Callithrix jacchus: one gene and its partners. The protein of the gene in region 4 binds, or shares a complex with, the protein of the main gene of each other region. Links are inferred from orthologs where the notes say so. Each region holds a gene or a part of one and is shown on either strand. Other genes may lie near its edges.

The links. The genes of interacting proteins can lie anywhere in the genome.
Region 1: POLR1B (region 4) and POLR2H share a complex: the UniProt entries of both Homo sapiens proteins name them as parts of the pol I pre-initiation complex. The link is inferred for Callithrix jacchus from reciprocal best matches to the Homo sapiens genes POLR1B and POLR2H.
Region 2: the proteins of POLR1B (region 4) and POLR1E are in contact, whole or in part, in a cryo-EM structure (PDB 8A43), measured with the Homo sapiens proteins. The link is inferred for Callithrix jacchus from reciprocal best matches to the Homo sapiens genes POLR1B and POLR1E. Residues at the interface, in NP_061887.2 of Homo sapiens: Lys254, Ser258, Phe259, Ser260, Tyr262, Gln263, Gln266, Ser295, Thr296, Gln297, Ser338, Thr340, Glu341, Ala532, Cys535, Pro541, Ile542, Asp543, Gly544; in NP_071935.1 of Homo sapiens: Gln27, Ser29, Asn30, Gly31, Tyr69, Thr76, Leu79, Lys80, Cys81, Leu84, Cys85, Met109, Gln110, Pro111, Leu112, Phe113.
Region 3: the proteins of POLR1B (region 4) and POLR1C are in contact, whole or in part, in a cryo-EM structure (PDB 7OBA), measured with the Homo sapiens proteins. The link is inferred for Callithrix jacchus from reciprocal best matches to the Homo sapiens genes POLR1B and POLR1C. Residues at the interface, in NP_061887.2 of Homo sapiens: Arg713, Gln715, Lys761, Ala762, Glu765, Arg766, Gly767, His770, Tyr774, Gly816, Val848, Arg872, Pro874, Glu900, Asp901, Phe904, Glu906, Gly908, Lys967, Gly970, Tyr971, Asn972, Phe973, Tyr974, Arg978, Tyr980, Ser981, Gly982, Ile983, Ser984; in NP_976035.1 of Homo sapiens: Ala70, Asn74, Arg77, Arg78, Leu81, Ala82, Gln102, Asp103, Glu104, Ile105, His108, Leu112, Lys220, Asp221, His222, Ala223, Thr230, Ser232, Tyr233, Arg234, Leu235, Asp281, Thr282, Phe283, Ser284, Glu286, Arg289, Arg301.

What each region holds. Positions count from the first base shown.
Region 1 is NC_133516.1:13,340,075-13,344,961, reverse strand, and holds the start of POLR2H (DNA-directed RNA polymerases I, II, and III subunit RPABC3), read right to left. Parts: upstream 3,082-4,887; 5' UTR 2,960-3,081; coding exon 2,887-2,959; intron 1,333-2,886; coding exon 1,249-1,332; intron 1,166-1,248; coding exon 1,072-1,165; intron 1-1,071. UniProt on the Homo sapiens protein: DNA-dependent RNA polymerase catalyzes the transcription of DNA into RNA using the four ribonucleoside triphosphates as substrates.
Region 2 is NC_133502.1:144,458,108-144,462,897, reverse strand, and holds the start of POLR1E (DNA-directed RNA polymerase I subunit RPA49), read right to left. Parts: upstream 3,082-4,790; 5' UTR 2,982-3,081; coding exon 2,906-2,981; intron 2,328-2,905; coding exon 2,224-2,327; intron 1,151-2,223; coding exon 1,074-1,150; intron 1-1,073. UniProt on the Homo sapiens protein: Component of RNA polymerase I (Pol I), a DNA-dependent RNA polymerase which synthesizes ribosomal RNA precursors using the four ribonucleoside triphosphates as substrates.
Region 3 is NC_133505.1:51,998,440-52,003,022, reverse strand, and holds the start of POLR1C (DNA-directed RNA polymerases I and III subunit RPAC1), read right to left. Parts: upstream 3,082-4,583; 5' UTR 3,059-3,081; coding exon 2,990-3,058; intron 2,863-2,989; coding exon 2,791-2,862; intron 851-2,790; coding exon 743-850; intron 468-742; coding exon 335-467; intron 117-334; coding exon 1-116. Other genes in the region: protein YIPF3, read left to right, coding at 3,364-3,444, 4,078-4,287, 4,459-4,565. UniProt on the Homo sapiens protein: DNA-dependent RNA polymerase catalyzes the transcription of DNA into RNA using the four ribonucleoside triphosphates as substrates.
Region 4 is NC_133515.1:22,047,671-22,051,760, reverse strand, and holds part of POLR1B (DNA-directed RNA polymerase I subunit RPA2), read left to right. Parts: intron 1-258; coding exon 259-391; intron 392-518; exon of another isoform or gene 519-916; intron 917-1,953; coding exon 1,954-2,090; intron 2,091-2,858; coding exon 2,859-3,082; intron 3,083-3,727; coding exon 3,728-3,899; intron 3,900-4,090. UniProt on the Homo sapiens protein: Catalytic core component of RNA polymerase I (Pol I), a DNA-dependent RNA polymerase which synthesizes ribosomal RNA precursors using the four ribonucleoside triphosphates as substrates.

The sequences.
Region 1 (4,887 bases), on a different chromosome or scaffold from region 4:
ACTGGTAACTCGATGCCAGCATTTTAACAACAGGCACATTATAAACATGACGCCATTTAGTCCTCACAGCAATTCTGTGAGCTAGGCAGGACCATCTCTAGTTTACTGATGAGGAAACAGGCTGAAGGAGATCAAGCTTACTTAGCAAGTAAGTGGTAGAGCTCAGAAATCAACTCGAGCGGGGTGCCAAAGCCTTTCCATTACACCAAACTCCCTCCCAAGACACAAGACCCACAGAGCGGTCATCTTCTCAGCCTTCAAAAAGCTACAACTCACAAGCATGTAATCACTGTTATAAATACCTGGTTGTTTGAAATTTTTTATCTTTTTTTTTTTTTTGAGACAGGGTCTTGCTCTGTTGCTCAGGCTGGAGTGCAGTAGCATGATCGTGGCTCACTGCAGCCTCAATCTCCCTGGCTCAGGCAATCCTCCCACCTTGGCTTCCCAGGTAGCTGGAACTACAGGCACATGCCACCATGGTCAGCTTTTTTTTTTTTTTGTAGCAGTGAGGTTTCACTATGTTGCTCAGGTTGCTCTTGAACTCCTGGACTCAAGCAATCCTCCTGACTCAGCCTCCCAAAGTGCTTGAATTACATGTGTGAGCCATAGTACCTGGTCTGTTTGAATTCTTAAGTGCAGAAATTTCCTTAAGGTTACTCAGATTCTGCTAATCATTATTTATTCTAGGAATTAAAGAAGAGTCTTTCGTTTTTCTTTTTTTTGGAGACAGAGTCTTGTTCTGTTGCCCAGCCTGGAACTCAGTGGTCCAATCTCTGCTCACTGCAACCTCTGCTTCCTGGGTTCAAGCAATTCTCCTGCCTCAGCCTCCTGAGTAGCTGGGACTATGCAGGTGCCCACCACCATGCCCAATTAATTTTTTGTATTTTAGTAGAGACGCGGTTTCACCATGTTGCCCAGGCTGGTCTCAAACTCCTGACCTCATGATCCACCTCCCAAAGTGCTGGGATTACAGGCATGAACCACTGTGCCCCGCCAGAAGAGTCTTTCTATATCACTTATCTACTTAGTCCTCAGGGCATATTTCAAGTATCACCTTCTCCACTCCCTCACCTGGAAGGCCTGTCATCAGTGGGGTTATATTCACCATCATCCAGGGTGCCATCTTCATACAAGGTACTAGCTATGACCAACCGGAACTTGTCACCTAAAAATAACAGCAATATCAGAGAGTGAAGAATAGCTGAAGCAGCAAATAGCCTCTTATTATTGTCTGTGTTCAATACTTACCCAAGTCTACAGGGTAAATTTGAATGTTTACATCTAAGATGAGATCCATCTTGAAAGATTCACTCTCACAATGTAGCCGAGACACTGGGGAAAAGTGGAAAAAGAGTAAGAGAGGTATTGCCAGGCCCAGGGAAGATCCTACAGTGTGGGATTGTATGCAACAGAATACTCAATCTAACCCAGCCTACATCCACTGGTCTCTCATGTCCTCTAAGGCAGGCTCAGTCAGACCCAGATATGCAAGGAGGAAATCAGGAGAAAAACTGTGGCAAGTGAACGTAATCCCCAGAAAACAACTAAAGATACTCCAGCAGCAAATAATATCCAGGTTCTAGGCCTGCCTGGATGGCTGAGAACCTGACTCTGGGCAAGTTATTGAATCATCCAAAGGTTTCCTCTTTCTGTGCTAGGCACTGTGCTGAGGGGGTTATCAAGATGTATAATGACTGGTATCCATCTTGAAAAACATCTGAGTCTCTAGGCAAAGAAACAGACACCAAAGAGAAAATTATTGATCAATGACAAAATAAAGAAATGGAGACTAGGCGCGGTGGCTCACACCTGTCATCCCAGCACTGTGGGAGGTTAACGCAGGTGGATCACTGGAGGTCAGGAGTTGGAGACCAGCCTGGCCAACATGGTGAAACCCCATCTCTACCAAAAATACAAAAACGAGCTGGGTGTGGTGGCAGGCACCTGTAATCCCAGCTACTTGGGAGGCTGAGGCAAGAGAATTGCTTGAATCCAGAAGGCAGAGGTTGCAGTAAGCCGAGATCACACCATTGCACTCCAGTCAGTGTGAGTGACAAAGTGAGACGCCATCTCAAAAAAAAAAAAAGGAGTCTTCATGAGGTGGGTGGTGCCTTCCCTGTTTTTCTCTGAGAGTTTGAGTAACTCACCCAAGGCTGCACAGCAAGTAATCTAACTTCAGAGTCTATATTCTTGTATCGCTCTCAGAATCTTTAGCGCTTAGTGAAGTCTTTTCTGAGAGTTAACTAGTTAACTGCTTAGCGTATATATATATAATTTTTTTTTTTTTTTTAATGGAGTCTGGCTCTGCCGCCCAGGCTGGAGTGTAGTGGCTCGATCTTGGCTCACCACAACTTTAGCCTCCTGGGTTCAAGCGATTCTCCCGCCTCAGCCTACCGAGTAGCTGGGATTACAGGCGCGCCACCACCACACCCGGCTCATTTTTGTATTTTTAGTAGAGACAGGGTTTCACCATGATGGCCAGGCAGGTCTCGAACTCCTGACCTCAAGTGATCCACCCGCCTCAGCCTCCCAAAGTCCTGGGATTACAGGCGTGAGTCATCGCGCCCGGCCGAGGTCTCTTAAGAATAAGTAAGGCAAAGGGTGTATGAGCCGCACAAGACAGTGTCTAGCACAGAGTAGGCAGCGATTATAAAGATGCTCAGGAGTTTGCCAGCACTATGACAAAAGGCCATCCAGACACCCAGCACGGCATGCGTGAAGCCAGAGAGCTGAGTCTCCGTTTTCTCATTCATAAAGTGTTTCCTGAGGGAGGTCCCTACATCAGGACCTGCTGGTAGGAGCAGGCCACAAGAGCTGGGTGGGCATGGGGCCCAGGGACATGTCCGCGAGGTTAGCGTCTTCCTCCAAACCTCGTACCTTACTTACCTCGGTCAAACTTCTTGCCCTCTGGGTCAATATCCTTCACATCGAAAATATCCTCAAACAGGATGCCCGCCATCGCAAGTGGGCCAGGAGAGCAGCAGAAGGGGTTAACGCGCGACCACGGCTGGGAGTACGCGCACCCCCTCGCGTGGAGAAGGGAGATGAGCAAAAGCACCTCCAGAAAGGCGGCAGCTAGACAAGAGTAGCGCATGCGCACAAACAGGCGGTAACGCGACCACTTCCGCCACAATCTTCCTCTCGGGGCTACCTAACTTCCTCCCCGAAAGACTGTTTCCGAGAGGCTTCGGCATTGAGGGCGGGTCTCACGGCCAGGTGGCTCCGCCCAGGGCGGGGAAACAATAGGTCCAACCTCCCGCGGCTGTAGAGCGGCTTCTGCTACGCTGGGGCTTTACTGCGCGCTCTTCAGAGTCTGAGTCCAGAAGATTGGAATGCGTGGGGGCCTAACCCAGGCAGGGACCTTGATCCTTGGCCCAGAGCGGCCAGGCCCTAGCCCTATCCCGCCGGTCCTCGTGCCCGCCAAGGGCACAGTCCTCGCCGAGGGCAGGTGGAGAAGAACCCCGCCCCAGAGGTGCCCAGCCCCTCCAGGAGACACCAAGGACGCCGGGGCCGGCCTGGGCCGGCTGGGCCCTTCTGGATGTAACCTGAGCCGGATCCGTCCAGTTTGGGAATTTGCCATGACGTCGCTTTGGAGAAATGGAAAGGCTGCATGGTCCCCTCCCCTCATACGGCACCCCACGACACTGCCCTCTTCCCCCAGGCCCTGGTTTTCCCGCGCACCGCCCCTTCAGCCTGGCTCCCGCCCCCTGGGCACTCCCCCTCCAGCTTGGTACTCTGCGTTCCCGTTTACTGGACACGGATCCCCTCCGTACCCCTTCGGCCTAGCACTGCCCTCTCCCTTGAATACCAGCTCTTCCCTCGCACTGGCCCTTCCTCCTGGGTGGCGGCTTCTCTCCCAGGGCCCCCCCCCCTCCCCGGGCACTGCCCCCGCCCCCCGAGCCCCGCCTCTGCCTCCCAAATAGCCCTTCCTTCTGGTACTACTGGCTCTCCCGCACCCTGTCCGCGTCCTGGGCGCCGCCCCCGCTCCTCTCACACTGTCGCTCAGCTGCCCGTCCACCCTGCGCGCGCTCCGCCCTCTTTTCTATCCTTCCCTGGCCCCTGACAGAGAACCCCGAGCACCAGCAGACCGTTCCCCGAAAGCGGAGGGACAGCAGCAGCGACTCGGGTTCCTCCTTGAGCCCAGCCAGGGAGAAGCGACCTCTGCTCTCCACGCCCGCGTTCCGGGCGTGGACTCCCGGCCCGTGGAGCTCCCCTCCTCCGGCCTACCCCTTCCGGGGCCCTCCCAACCTCCACCCCCGCACACCCCGCAGGCCGGGTTGCTCCGGGTGCACCTCCCTGGGGCAGCCCCGGGAAAGGAAGGAGTAAGGAAGACGGCCCCGATCCGCCCCGAATCCTCCCAGCTTTGCTGCTCACCCCTGACAGGCCTGTCAGAGCTGCAAGTCCCTTGGGACGGGGAGAGGGGAAGCGGCTTCTAACCGGCTGACCCGGAGGCGTCCGATGTAGATCACTCAGCACCCCCATCCCTGAGCCCTGCGGAGCTCGGGCATCTGCAGCCCCTCCTGCCCGGACGCAGGGAACCGCCAACCCGGCCCGGCCCCTCCACGTGCCCGCGGACCCGCCCCTGCCCGGCCCCGGGCGCCCCTCTCCTTCCCCGGCCTCCGCAGGGAGCCGGCGCGGGCTCCAGACTGCTCAGCGCCCCCTACCGCCTCTCGGGAGGCCCCGCGCGGACCCCGGCCTGGCTGGGCCGGCCCCTCCGGATGGGCTGGCGGGCGGAGCAGCGCAGAGGGCACCACCCTCGGCCCGCCCGCCGAGGAGGGGACAGGAGCCGGAGGCTGCGCCTGCGGCGCCCGCTCCGGGCCCGCCGCACTCTGCTCTCGGTCTCCCGGGCTGCGGGGACGGGACGGCCGCCGGCGCTGACTCTGCGGG
Region 2 (4,790 bases), on a different chromosome or scaffold from region 4:
CAGGCTGGTCTCGAACTCCTGACCTCAGGTCAGGAGTGCTGGGATTACAGGTGTGAGCCACTGCGCCTAGCCCTTTTCCTGTTTAAAAGTTGTCAACCTTCTCTCTGCCCGCACACCTGAGGAATGTATCACCTACTCATGGGTAACAATAATCTCCCCTTCCCTCTATCCCAAAGCAATTCTCTGCAGGGAGAGGGAAAAGGAAAGGATGGGATGGGATGGGATCGGGGGACATGAGGTAGTCCTGGGGGAAAAAAAAAAGCTACCAGGTAATTCTGGTAGTTGATCACATTTGGGCTTGCTGCTGTACAATAATGAAAAGCTCTTTTGGGGTGTAGGAATCTAGAATTACACTAGAATTTATGGCACACCAGTTTTACGGTGGCAAAACCAAGTAAATGCGGAGGAGATCAATCCGAACTAGAGCATCTTTGAGAGGGGAGAGTGCAGGTTATAGTTCAGAGCATGTATACACCAATCTGACCTCTACTGGAGTATGGTTTAGCAGGGCTCTGAAAGGGCCTGGTTTGTGTTTCATCGCTGGGTGCCATCACGGGGCCCTGTCTTCATCACGCCAGCACCCGAGAGTTACACAGTTCTGGCTGGACAATCTTCATTGTACAGAGGAGAAGACTAGGGGTTAGTGATGGGCAGAGTTGCCCAGCCACTCAGTCAATCAGCAGCACAGCTGGACAGGAATCCCAGGTTCCTCTTTCCCAGCCCAGATCCTTCAACACTACCAAGTTCTTTACCTGTCATTAGTTCCCAGGTAAACTTCACACAAGCTTTGACCTAGTCACACATTCCAAATTAATGGAGAGAGCTGCCTTTTGGAATAAGACAGCTATAAATAAACAAGGTTACAAATGAATGAGGTTTTTAGGAAATTTAAGTTCTCTTTTCTTTATAGTAATGTCTATAGGCTGGGAGGGGAAGGCTCTGGGTCTACGAAGAACACAGGGATCATCTAGTAAACCTCTCTAGATTTCTTCTACTGCCCCTAAAACAGACTGGAAACAGCAGTGCCAATGCTGCCACCACTCCCTTCCCACTGTCCCTTCCCCTGCCATTACCTGCACAAAGTGTTGCATTTGAGGGCTCCAGTCCCAAAATTGTTTCCCACATAGGAAAGCCTATCTGTTTCAGCTGCCTATAATGCAGAGAGGGGAAACTCCATTTACAACCAATGTTGAAAGGTATTAAGCATCATCTCTCTTTTCTACATTTGCTGAAGCTTTAGAATCCAGACCCACAATGGATTAGAACTAGTTCATCTCTGGCAGATGATCCAGCCCCACTATCTCTAAGGCAATACGGGATGTCCCTGGAGGGAAAGCAAGATGACTTTTGAAAGAGAAGCCTCAGATATTGCTAGCTTCTAAATGGTATGAAAAGCTCTTGGGGGAATTCTACCACAGGACTTGAGAGAGAGGCCCTGGGCTTCTAGCACTTAGAGGTATGCAACAAAGTGATTCTGTCAGCAATCTCTCTTTGGCCCAAAGTCCAAGCCCTTTTTGATCTTCTTTGCCCATCTCTCCCATGACTATTCTTTATATACACTCAAGACCATGGCTGACTCACTTCCCAATCATAAGCAAGCTTTCCTGCTTCTCTGCATTTATCCTCACTATACTTTCCACTTGGAACATCAAACCTTGACCGCCAAATTCTCATTTCGTTCTTCGAGGTTCAGCTCCAACATGCCCTCCCCAAGGAAGGCATTCTGGCAGAGACCTCTCCTCCCACTGAGCTCACTCTGCTCTGTACTCTTCCCACGTGGCCTCAGAGCTTTGTGTAAAAGTGTCTCTCACAGCCAGTTCTCATCTCTCTAGAGCTGAGCTTCTCAATCCAGGGAAATCCACTCTAGTGCTAGTGCGTAGAGACCAGGGATACTGTCCCCACAATGAACAATTATTGGCCCAAAATGTCAATAGTCCTGAGGTTGAGAAACCCTGCTCTAGAGTACGAACTTCCTCCGAGTGGGGCCAGGCCTGATTTGGCTGTTTCCCTAGAAGCTTGCAGCACAGGGAACGGAGGGGGTTCCATAAATGCTTGTTGAAAGAACAAATGAATGAATGAAAGATGGAGTTTGTCCCCACATCCCAAGTTGCTGGGCATCAGAGTTCTTCAAAGGTCCTTTTGCTACTCCCTTTTTCCTCCCCTCACTCCTTCCCATATCCACACACTCCCAGGGTGGAGGCACCTGGCAACTAATGCACTTACCAGGATCCGTTGATTCCTCTTCCTGGGGTTGGTGGAATCTTTGTTCTCATACAAGGTAAAGCGCATGTTGCCTGGACTCTGCAGCCTCCCGTTGGAGAACTGGACTGTAAGAGTGTAGCCCAAGAATAAGATGAGAGCAGAAGAACACATAATGTATGGCGGGACTAGACTGTCACTGGGAGGGAGGGAGTGTCGGAATGGGGATGGCAAGGAAGCTTGGGTCCTGACCTCAAGGGAAATGGAGGAGATCCGGGCCAGCTGAGAAGAGAGGGTAGGGAGGTGTGAGAACCCTGGGGAGGGGCTGTGACAAGAGGGAATGAATGTCTGGGCGAGGGAGCCTGGCAGCAAAGGCCTGGTCCACACCTAAAGTGACAGAAAGAACCCCTGCCCAGTGAAGAGAGGGAAATGGGGGAGGTGGGAGACCTGGTGGGTGAGGGGACAGCAGGGTCCTGGACACAGTCCTGGAGAGCGGGTGCCTGGGATATTCCTATCCGGTGGGAGGTAGTGACAGAAAGACGGCAGTTTCAGAGGGGAGCCCTGACCGAGCCCAAGAGAATGGTGGAGACTAGTGGGGTCCTGGCCCCGCTGGGAGGGGCCCAACAGAGGGCGAGAGGGCAGCTGAGGCACCGAGACGAAAGGGGAGAGGGTTAGAGGAGCTCTGCTCCAGATCCGCCGTCTTTACCCAGTACAGCTCTCTGGCTTCCAGCGGGCGCCCCACAATACAGCCACTTCGCACTCGGCAACACCTCTGCCGCCATCTCGACTGTCTGGCCTCCAAGCACAGGAGTTAAGATAGCAGCAGCCACAAGAGCTCTTTTAAACACGAGGGAAGCCCAGGCCGCGCGGCTAGCGGAAAAGGCGTGGTTCCGCCGGGCACTGCCCAAGGTGCGCGAGACACGTGCCCCGCCCCCCGCGTAGAGAGGCGTGGTTTCCGCTTACACGGTGCCACACCCCCCGCACGGCCGGCCGAGGCGCAGCACCTGATTGGCTCAGCGCTCGCCGCCACTCTGGGTTTTGTAGGTCCAGAGGCCGAGGAGCCAAAGGGTCCTGCAGCTTCAGTCTAAGCTTCCCGTGGGCTTTCTTCCCGCTCAGCACCGTCTACAGAGAGAATAGTCTCTCTCTCTCTCCTACCGTGACAAACACATCTTCCCAAAACCTGAAAGACCAAGTTCAAATTTAGAATTCTCTGATCGGAACTGCTTGACCCCCAACTAAATGTGGCCGCTGGCGAAGAACCATCTGGAGAGCCTCCCACCTGCACACGAGGAGATCCAGCTCTAGGTACAAGCTTTGTCCACTGTAGGGCTGTTGGGCCCCACAGGGTTGTGAGGTGTCCCTTATGTTGTGCTGAAGTGCAGGATCCAAGAAGTAAAGAGACAGGACACTGAAGAACTGGTGAAGAGTATCTGGACTCATGGGGCCATGCCACCTATGAGGGGAGGCAGGCGAAGGCCGGAACGCTTAGAAGCGTCTGTATTTATTAGGTACAAGCAGGGGGAAGGGTCGTAAATTAGGTCATTATCTATAGGCTTAGTGATAGGGCCTACATAATCACGTGAGTCGCAAGCGAGAGGACCACCCCATTATGTCATCTGGGCAGAGAGGTGGGCCGTGCGCAGTAGTAGAGGGTCATGTACAGAAAAGGGGTCCACCCCCATTAGGTTACCGTGGCAAGGAGGTGGGCTGTGTGCAACAGGTGTTGTGGCGGCACTTCTTATCTGGGGGCTGGAGAGTCAAAGGATTTCTAATAGTAAGATACTGTAAGCCAATGCAGTGGGAGCTGACAGACTTGTGCTCTTCTCTTAAGATATTTATGGGAGGCTGATTTGAGCTAACACAGAAGCGAGAAAAGGCTGACGGGGTGTACAGCCATTGTGACTAGTCACATCAGAGGGGTTCTTCTCCCTCGATTATTTGCAGGATCTCAGGCCAGAGGCCTACTTTCCACAGGAACTGGATGCAAGGTGCTACAACTCCTTTATCAGGAGGAGAGGCTCTTGCTCCAAGCCTGCCATACAGCGTATGACCTTTGAGGCAGGGACGCCACCTGGGTCTTTGGTTCTTGTCCTGGTCTGGCTGTTTTCCCATGTACTGCTTCTGTTCTGTGACTGCTGTAGGCATTCCTTCTACTATAAACTACTATATGGTTATATAGAAGGATTCTATAAATCAGCCCTTAATGTGTCAGTACAGCTCTGACTACAATACCTATATGATTATATAGAAAGATTATATGGAACTAAGTATGATTATATATATAAGCTAGATATAGTAAGCAGTAAATTAGTATATGATTATATAGAAAGGTTATATGGGACTAAGTAAGCAGCGAGTTATACTTCAGGCACTAATTGTGCCTGGGGTCTGCACATTTCTCCTTCCTTGGTGGCTCTGGGGGGGTGTTACCCACAGTCCACAGTCTGGCCAACAGCTCCCCACCGTGGGCCGTGGCGGGCACACCTGTGTCCCAATCAACCCTGAGGTGAAGGAACAGAAGCCCAGCAAACCCAGAGCATTTGGGCAGGAGATCCTGAAGTGGGATAGAAGAGTCTGAGCTGATGGACATG
Region 3 (4,583 bases), on a different chromosome or scaffold from region 4:
GTGGTTCATGTACAGTTCGTTGGGGTCAGAGGAATCTTTAGCAGCATGGGGGTTCCGAGTACATCTGACTTGAAGACGAAACTGTAGAGTATCTATCTCTGTGCCTTCTTCATCTCCTGCACCAATGGAGAGAGCTCTTAAGAACTAGTAAATATCTGAGTGCCAGCACTATGCTGAATGCTTTACATATTTCCCATTTAATTATCTTGGCAAACTTGGGAAGAGAGGGCAAGTGTTCTCACAGATGAAAAACACTAATATACTTACCCAATGTCACAGTCAACCAGGATTTAAACCCAGACAGTCCACTTCTCCCAAAATTTCATTTTCTCACCTTGGTTCCGATACTCAAAAAGACGGGGGTCAGCATGAATGGGAATGAGCCCCAGACGGTGAGCAAGGATCTCATCCTGAACAATAGATGTGTTGTTGTACACCAGGACCTTCTCCACAGCCATAGTTGGCACCTGCCCAAGGAAAAAATCACTTATCAGCAAAAACCCAATAGACCCCCTACCTATCCCCACAAACTCCAACCTCCAGAGGTAGGGAGCTATCTCTCTTCCTAGAATGTTTAATGAGAAGTTTACAAAGAATGAGAAGGTAAAATCCTTAGCCAGCAAAACTCCAGGAAAAATAAGAAGGGAAGGACAGCTTGAGACACTTAATTCTCCAAGTGACACTCCAAGTGTCAGTGCAGTTCCCAAAGCAAATCCAACCTTGTCACCATGCCTGCCAATACCTCAGCTAACAGAATTCGTCGAAAAGCATTGGCAATGGATGCATCAATTCCCACCATGTCAAACTCCAGTGAGTTTTCATCCATGTGTACCACATCCACACGGAAATTCTAGAGGGACAGGAAAAAGATTAAGTGAAGCCTGCTCTCTTTGTAATAGCTCTTCATACCTCCCCCTCAGATGATTCCAAGTATTATCCACTCATCCAAAAACCACCCTTTGCCCAGACGTCCCTTATTAAATGTTCTTTCTCGTCCAGTGCTTGCTTTAGGTTCATGAAAAGTGTCCATTTTTTGTCTTCCATTCATTAAAACCCTATCCAATATGGCTCCCAACCAAACCATCCACAGAAGCTATTGTCCTAAGAACAGAAACCCACCTCACTGCTTAGTCATGCTGACACTAGACAGTCCTTTTACTAGACGTCTGTTACGCCTGGCATTGATTAAAAAAATCCCCTCCTGGAAAGGCGCAATGGCTCATGCCTGTAATCCCAGCATTTTGGAAGGCCAAGGTGGTTGGATCACGAGGTCAGGAGTTCGAGACTGGCATGGTGAAACCTCATCTTTACTAGAAATACAAAAAACTAGCCGGCCATGGTGGTGTGCACCTGTAATACCAGCTACTCAGGAGGCTGAGACAGGAGAGCTGCCTGAATCCAAGAGGCAGAGGTTGCAGTGAGCTGATATCCTGCCACTGCACTCCAGCCTGAGCAACAGAGACTCCATCTCAAAAAAAAAAAAAAAAAATCCCCTCCTTTTTTGAACTATTCTCCTGGCTTCTGAGCTCCATTCTTCCTTCTCTGATGATCAACAACGTCCACCCATCTCTAAATCTACCAGGTTCTGGTCTCTCTCCCAGGTGACCTTAACCACACTAACAACGGTTTTAGCAACTATCTGTGCTGACACCTCCCAAAATTTTACCTCCCTTCTGATCTCATTTCAAATATGCAGTCTTCTAGCCTGCTAGATTTCTCCAAATGCAGGAAACGACGTATCATCATTCCTCTTCCCCAGACCCATTTCTTCTCTCAGTAAATGATACCACAATGCATCAAAGCAGTTCCCAAGTCAAAAAGTCATTTTATGCTACCCCAACAGCCTTTACCAAAGCAATCACAAATTTACCTTCTTTCTTCCTTTGCTCTCTTTCTACCGTCAGTCTTAGTTCATACCTTCAACCTCAGCTTCCCTTACAACAGATCTGCCTGCTCCATACGATCCTCTTCAAACTCATTCCCTCCCAGCTATCAGGGTTGCAAATCTAATCATGTCTGCTTAACTATTCAAGCTCCCTATCATCAACAGTGCCCAAGACACACTTCAATCTTGCCTACCACTAGTGCCAGAACTGCTTGGACATTCCCGGAGCACAATTCACACCATAACTTTTTTTCAAGCATTAGCCTTTTTCATTGTTCATACTTTATTCCTGTATCAACAGGTTAAAAAAAGTAAAATTTTCCCAAGCACAGATTTATAGATCATGTTTTATAAACTGCACACACAGTTCAGTTGCATAAACAGTAACATTCAGTGATCTATTTAAATGCAATTTTAATCCTTATTTTAAGCTAAGTGAAACAATAATAGACTAAATACACACAAAACCTGTATATCCTCAACTTCACTGACCTGAAACTCAAAGCCTTCCTAATTTAACTCCTGTTCTTTACTTACCGTTCAAAGCTCAATTCAGATCTTCCCTCCTCAAGAAATGTTAAGTACCTCTGGGCCCCTCTTCCTGGTCTCAGCATAATGTTCCCCACACGAATCCTGCCATCTTCACAGCTATCAACCACCTTTACCATATTAAACTAGATTCACTTGTTTATACGCACCATTCCTCAACAAGACTGAACATCTTGTTTGCAGAACTGGGTAGAAACTGTGTCTAACTTGGCCTGTAAACGGAGGTCTACCACATTGCTCAACAAAACTTACAAACGGAGCGACCCCCAAGAGCAGCTACTGAGACAGACACATGCTGCTGAGACCACAGGGTCTGGCCCTCCTAACAATCCCCGGACAACTCTGGCCCCACTGACCTTCTCGAAGCGTTCCTGGTCCCAGGCATCATCATAACCGGAATAGTTACCGGGAAAGTCAGTGGTATGGACCTAGAGCAAAGGGATGAGTTTGTCCACAAATGGACAGTGAGCCTACGGCTATCCCCACGCCAATCCCAAGACCCATCCCTGTTCCGCTCTCATTCCTCCCGCCTGAGCTCAAGGACACAAGTCTTACATTGCGAACCCCAAACTCTCCTAGAACCACGCGGCTCCGCATTTCTTCCACGGCCTGAGTAGCCGCCATGTTCAATCTCTCCAAAAGACTACAGGCTCTAGCTGGCGCGTGCGTTCTAGCAGCACTGCTCCATCTCCGTGGCAACGCACCGCCTCCTGGAATCTTAAATATCGCGAGACTTTGCTCCACCTTCATCCACGTCCCCAATTTCCGGAAGTTGGTTTTGTCCAAACATCCGGGTTTCTCCTTTTTGTGTTCCGGCTGATCCCACCTCTCCGCGACCTGGGACCTCTCCCTTCTTGGGACTCACATCTCGCACACTTCCCTGCGCGCGGGGCTATCGCGGGCTTCAGCGACGGGAGCCCTCAAAGGGCATGGCAACTACAGCGGCGCCGACGGGCGGCGCCCGAAACGGAGCTGGCCCGGAATGGGGAGGGTTCGAAGAAAACATCCAGGTAATGGCCCCAAGGCACCAGATGCCAGCAACCCGAGGGCCGGCGATGTCCAGAAGTGTCTTGGGGATTCTCCCTCGGGGCCTGGAAGTTCACTCCATTTGCAAAACTGCCTTCTTTGGGTCTTGCACACAAAAGTCAGTGGAGTTAACATTGACCTGAAAGGGCCAGACTAGTCTACTACTCCAGCCTGAGGATCTCGGGTCTCTGGGCCCGCCCGAGGCGTTAGGAAGAACGTATTCTTGGAACAAGTTAGGAGGTTGGTTGGGGTCAGGCCTGGAGTGGGGTTGGGTGGGATTCACTGGCACTCGCCGAAAACATACTGTGTTCATAGTTTTGTTTGGGGCTTTGGAAAGACAGAAATGGATTCTTTTTCAAGCTTTTAGTCTTTGATAGGTAAGGTAGGAGAAAGACATGAATGGAAGACTAGTTGGTTTCCCAGGCTAGAAAAGATAGCCAAAGCTATAAATCAAGCGTTCTGAGAGCAAATGAGGGGGAATGGAGTGGCATGATCTGTAGTGATTCCAAGCCGTATCCTCAGCAGTGGAAGAACAAAGCCCTAAGCCCTGGGATGAGCAGAGGACTTAATGGATGGAACAGAAAAGTCCTGCACTCTAGGAGCCATTGTCTTAACAGGGCGGAGGCTCAGCTGTGATTGACATGGAGAACATGGATGATACCTCAGGCTCTAGCTTCGAGGATATGGGTGAACTGCATCAGCGCCTGCGCGAGGAAGAAGTAGACGCTGATGCAGACGCTGATGCGGCTGCTGCTGAAGAAGAGGATGGAGAGTTCCTGGGCATGAAGGGCTTTAAGGGACAGCTGAGCCGGCAGGTGGCTGATCAGGTAAGCAAGATGGAATCCCCTGCAGGTGGAAAAGTAAACCTAGGTGTGTCCCATGTCCTGGAGTTGGTATTGGTGTGTCGCCCCAGGTTGTCCTGGTAGAAATCAAATGGAAAATAGGCAACAGGGTCTAATGCCAAGAGTTCCACAATACCTATGCCCATCTTCCTTCAGATGTGGCAGGCTGGGAAGAGACAAGCCTCCAGGGCCTTCAGCTTGTATGCCAACATCGACATCCTGAGACCCTACTTTGATGTGGAGCCTGCCCAGGTGCGAAGCAGGTGAGGAGCCTTCTCTTG
Region 4 (4,090 bases):
TTAGGTTGAGCCTGTCTAATAGAAGTACCCTGTTTTTCTTCCATACTTTTCTCCATGTCCCTCAGACCTTTGTAATCTACTTGAGAAAACTTAATTCACACAAAGGCAGTGTCTGTGTACTGTGTTCTCAAAGGATCAGTAGTACTTTTCACCTCTGTGCTCCTGTTCTGTGTGTTGTACTGCCTTGGGCTAGGAATGAGGTTCATGTTTACAGTCATGTATCTTTGTTTAACAAATTGTAATTTATCTCTTTGGTAGGAAATGGGGGGCTATTTTATAATCAATGGCATTGAAAAGGTCATCCGAATGTTGATTATGCCTCGGAGAAATTTTCCCATTGCAATGATAAGACCAAAATGGAAAACCAGAGGGCCTGGTTATACTCAGTATGGTAAGTTCTGGAGATTACTAGAATGTTTTTTAAGGAAAATTTAAAACCTTTTTTTTTTAAGTAGATGCATTTAAATAGTCTTTGATAATTTTCTTTTTTCTTTCTTTTCTTATTTTTCCTGAGATAGAGTCTCACTCTGGCACCCAGGCTGGAGTGCAGAGTGGTGTGATCACAACTCGCCATGGCCTCGACCTTCACAGGCTCAGGTGATCCTCCCACCCCAGCCTTCCAAGTAGCTGGGACCACAGGCATGTGCCACCATGCCTGGCTAATTTTGTAGAGATGGAGTTTCACCATGTTGCCAGGCTGATCTCGAACTCTTGGGCTCAAGCAGTCCTTCCGCCTCAGCCTGCCAAAGTGCTGAGATTACATGTGTAAGCCACCATGCCTGGGCTTTCTTTTGTTTTTTGGGTTTTTTTTTGTTTTTTTCTACTGAGCATTCCTGTGTTAAGTTTTCGTAATGGGGATGGAAGAAGAAATGGAGAGATGTTAGTCAGAGGATACAAACTTGCAGTTACAAGACGAGTAAGTTCTGGGGATCTGATGTACAGCCTGGTGACGACAGTAATACCGTATTGCTTACTTAAAATTTGATGAGTAAATTTTAGGTGTCTCAACCACACACACGTGCATACATACAAATGATAACTATGGGTGGTGATTGATGTTTTTATCAGTTTGATTGTGGAAATCATTACATGTATATGTATATTCAAGGTATTGTCCACTTTGAATATATATGATTTTTATCAATTATAAGCATTTTAAAAAATACAAAAATTTCACGGTAGAAAACCTGCTATTATGTTTTACCTGTGCAAACTGAAAGAGCATGTGTATTTTTGTTATTGCTTATGAAGATGAAGGCTAGTCTGCCTTGGCCATAGGTGAATGTGGGTCTTAGATGTCTTCAGGTTCAGGCCACTGTGGCACACCCCTCAGGGTCTCTGTCTGACAGCCACCTGGCCTCTGTTTGAGCACTCTCTGTGACAGTGCTTAAGATAGCATGTTGCATTCTTGAGCTGCCTTGAAAGTTAAACAATTTGTCCTGATAGTTGAGCTAAAAATCAGATTTTAATTGTAGTAATACGTACTGTACCTAGAAAAAGAGCATGTCAGAATGTCTAGTCATTTTCTTTTGCCTGAGTTGATAGTGGTATGTCTTAGCAGTCTTTGCCTGAAACTGAAATAAACTTAAAATCTAAAATTCTACTTTTCTCCATTGGCACTATTAGATCAAACACCGTGTCTTGACCAGACTCCACAGTTTAAGAGGGATATAAAGTGCTAAAAGATGTGGACTCTGTCCTGGAGGAAAACTTTGAAGTTTGCTTAAATTCATAGCTTCAGTTATTTTACAGTAGTGTTTCTCAATCTGGGTAGATTTTGCATGCAAGAGGACATTTGCTAAGTTTTAGAAACATTTTTGATTGCCATTCTTGGCTAAACTTAATGATTTGGCTTTAATTGTGTGTAAGGAGGTAAGATTGTTCAGGAAAAAAATGATTGAAGCAATTATAGAATCACTGAGTTTCTGATTTTTTTGTTGTTCGGTTCAATAGGAGTTTCAATGCACTGTGTGAAAGAAGAACATTCTGCTGTCAATATGAACCTCCACTACTTGGAAAATGGCACTGTTATGTTGAACTTTATTTACCGGAAAGAACTGTTTTTTCTTCCTTTGGGATTTGCACTTAAGGTATGACTTAATGAATGCATTCTTTTGTTATGAAGAATTCATTGAAGGTAGTATCCTGTGCAGATGGGATGTATTCTTCTTATTAAAATAACATACTAGTTATCTACTGCTCCAAAACAGATTACCTCAAAATTCAATACCTTAAAACATCAATAAACATTTCTGTCTCACAGTTTCTGTGGGTCAGGAGTTTGAGAGTGCTTTGGCTGGACATCTGTGAACCGGGGTCTCAGGAAGTTGCATTGAGATGTCAGACAGGACTGCAGTCATTTTGAGGACTTCCAAGGTGGCTCACTCACATGGTTGGCAAATCAGTGCTGGTTGTTGGCAGGTGGTCTTCTCATGGGGTTGCTGTCTATATGGCCCTTTCTATAGGCTGTTTGAGACAGCTGTCTTCTTCCACGTAGTTAGCTGAGAGAACAGAGCAGAAGATGCAGAAGGCAAAAGCTGCAATGCCCTTTGTGACCTAGCCCTGGAGTCTCCCATCATCTTTTCCACCACATTCTCTTGGTCAAGCAGTCCAGCCTTGATTCAGCATGTGAGGAAACTACACGTTTATGAACACCAAGAGGTGAAGAGCCTGGAGGCCATATTGCTGTCTGTCTATCATACAAAGAATGCTTTATTTAGAGTTTTCTTTGGTTCAGCATTAGCAGAGTGCTAATTTCCTTGGGTATTAAAAAAGAGAAGATAATTGTTACTGAATAGATGAAATATTTTAGTTATTAGTGAGAAATTAAAAAGAAAACCTTTTATTTTCTGTTCTAGGCACTTGTCAGCTTTTCCGATTATCAGATCTTTCAGGAGCTCATCAAAGGAAAAGAGGATGATTCTTTCTTTAGAAACTCTGTTTCTCAGATGTTAAGGATTGTAATGGAAGAGGGTTGTTCCACACAGAAACAGGTCCTTAACTATCTAGGTGAATGCTTCAGAGTAAAGCTCAATGTTCCTGACTGGTACCCAAATGAGCAAGCTGCGGAGTTCCTGTTTAAGTATGTGTGCTTTGCCTGAACTGTTTCCGAAGGGGCAGAGGGCTGTCAGTGGTTCTTTGTATTCGTTGCAGTTTGGGTGGGTGAGTCATCTGGGAATGAGAATGGATCTTGGGGTAGAATTCTGGTCCTTGCTAGCTGGGGGCTGCCTTTGATTTTGTGGCTGTTCTCACCTTTATTTTTTTAGTAGTTGTGTTTTATTTTATTGTCCCAACTTTTATTTTGAAATCATTTCTGACATCCAGAATAATGTCCAAATAGTACATTGGACTCATATTCACAAATTGTGAACATTTCATTAACTTACATTTGCTTTTTTACTTGCTGTATACCCAGATGTACATTTTTCTTTCTGTACTGTTTGAAAGTTGCAGGCCTTGTGTCTTTATTTCTTCAAAGCAAGGACTTTGTCTTATATAACCACTGTGTAATTACTAAAGGAGCCAGCTCCATACCAGTGCTGTCCAGTACGCAGACACACGCCGCATGATGAGCACTTCAAATGTGGCCAGTGCAGGTCAAAAACTGAATGCTTAATTTTATTTAATTAAAGTTAAGTAAGCATGAATTAGCGGTCTTGGTTAATAGAGCATTAAGTAGTATTACCAACTAGATTGTTTTAAGCTTTCTTTTTTTCTATTTTGACAGCCAGTGCATCTGTATCCACTTGAAATCCAATACTGAAAAGTTTTATATGCTTTGTCTTATGACACGAAAGCTCTTTGCTTTAGCCAAAGGAGAGTGCATGGAGGACAATCCTGATAGTTTAGTGAACCAAGAAGTCCTTACACCGGGTCAGCTCTTCCTTATGTTTCTGAAGGTAAGTGCGTACCGTATCCACCCTTGGCCCGTGGTACCACTTGTGGAATGGTGTGACTGTCCGGCTGTACTGTTTTCTGCATGTTTATAGTTCCTAGTTTTGGCATCTTGCGTGGTCTCTTTTTGTGTATTCATTTAACAGTAAGGGAATCAAAAATCCTAGCTTTCACCAGGTTTGGAAATTTGCTTAAG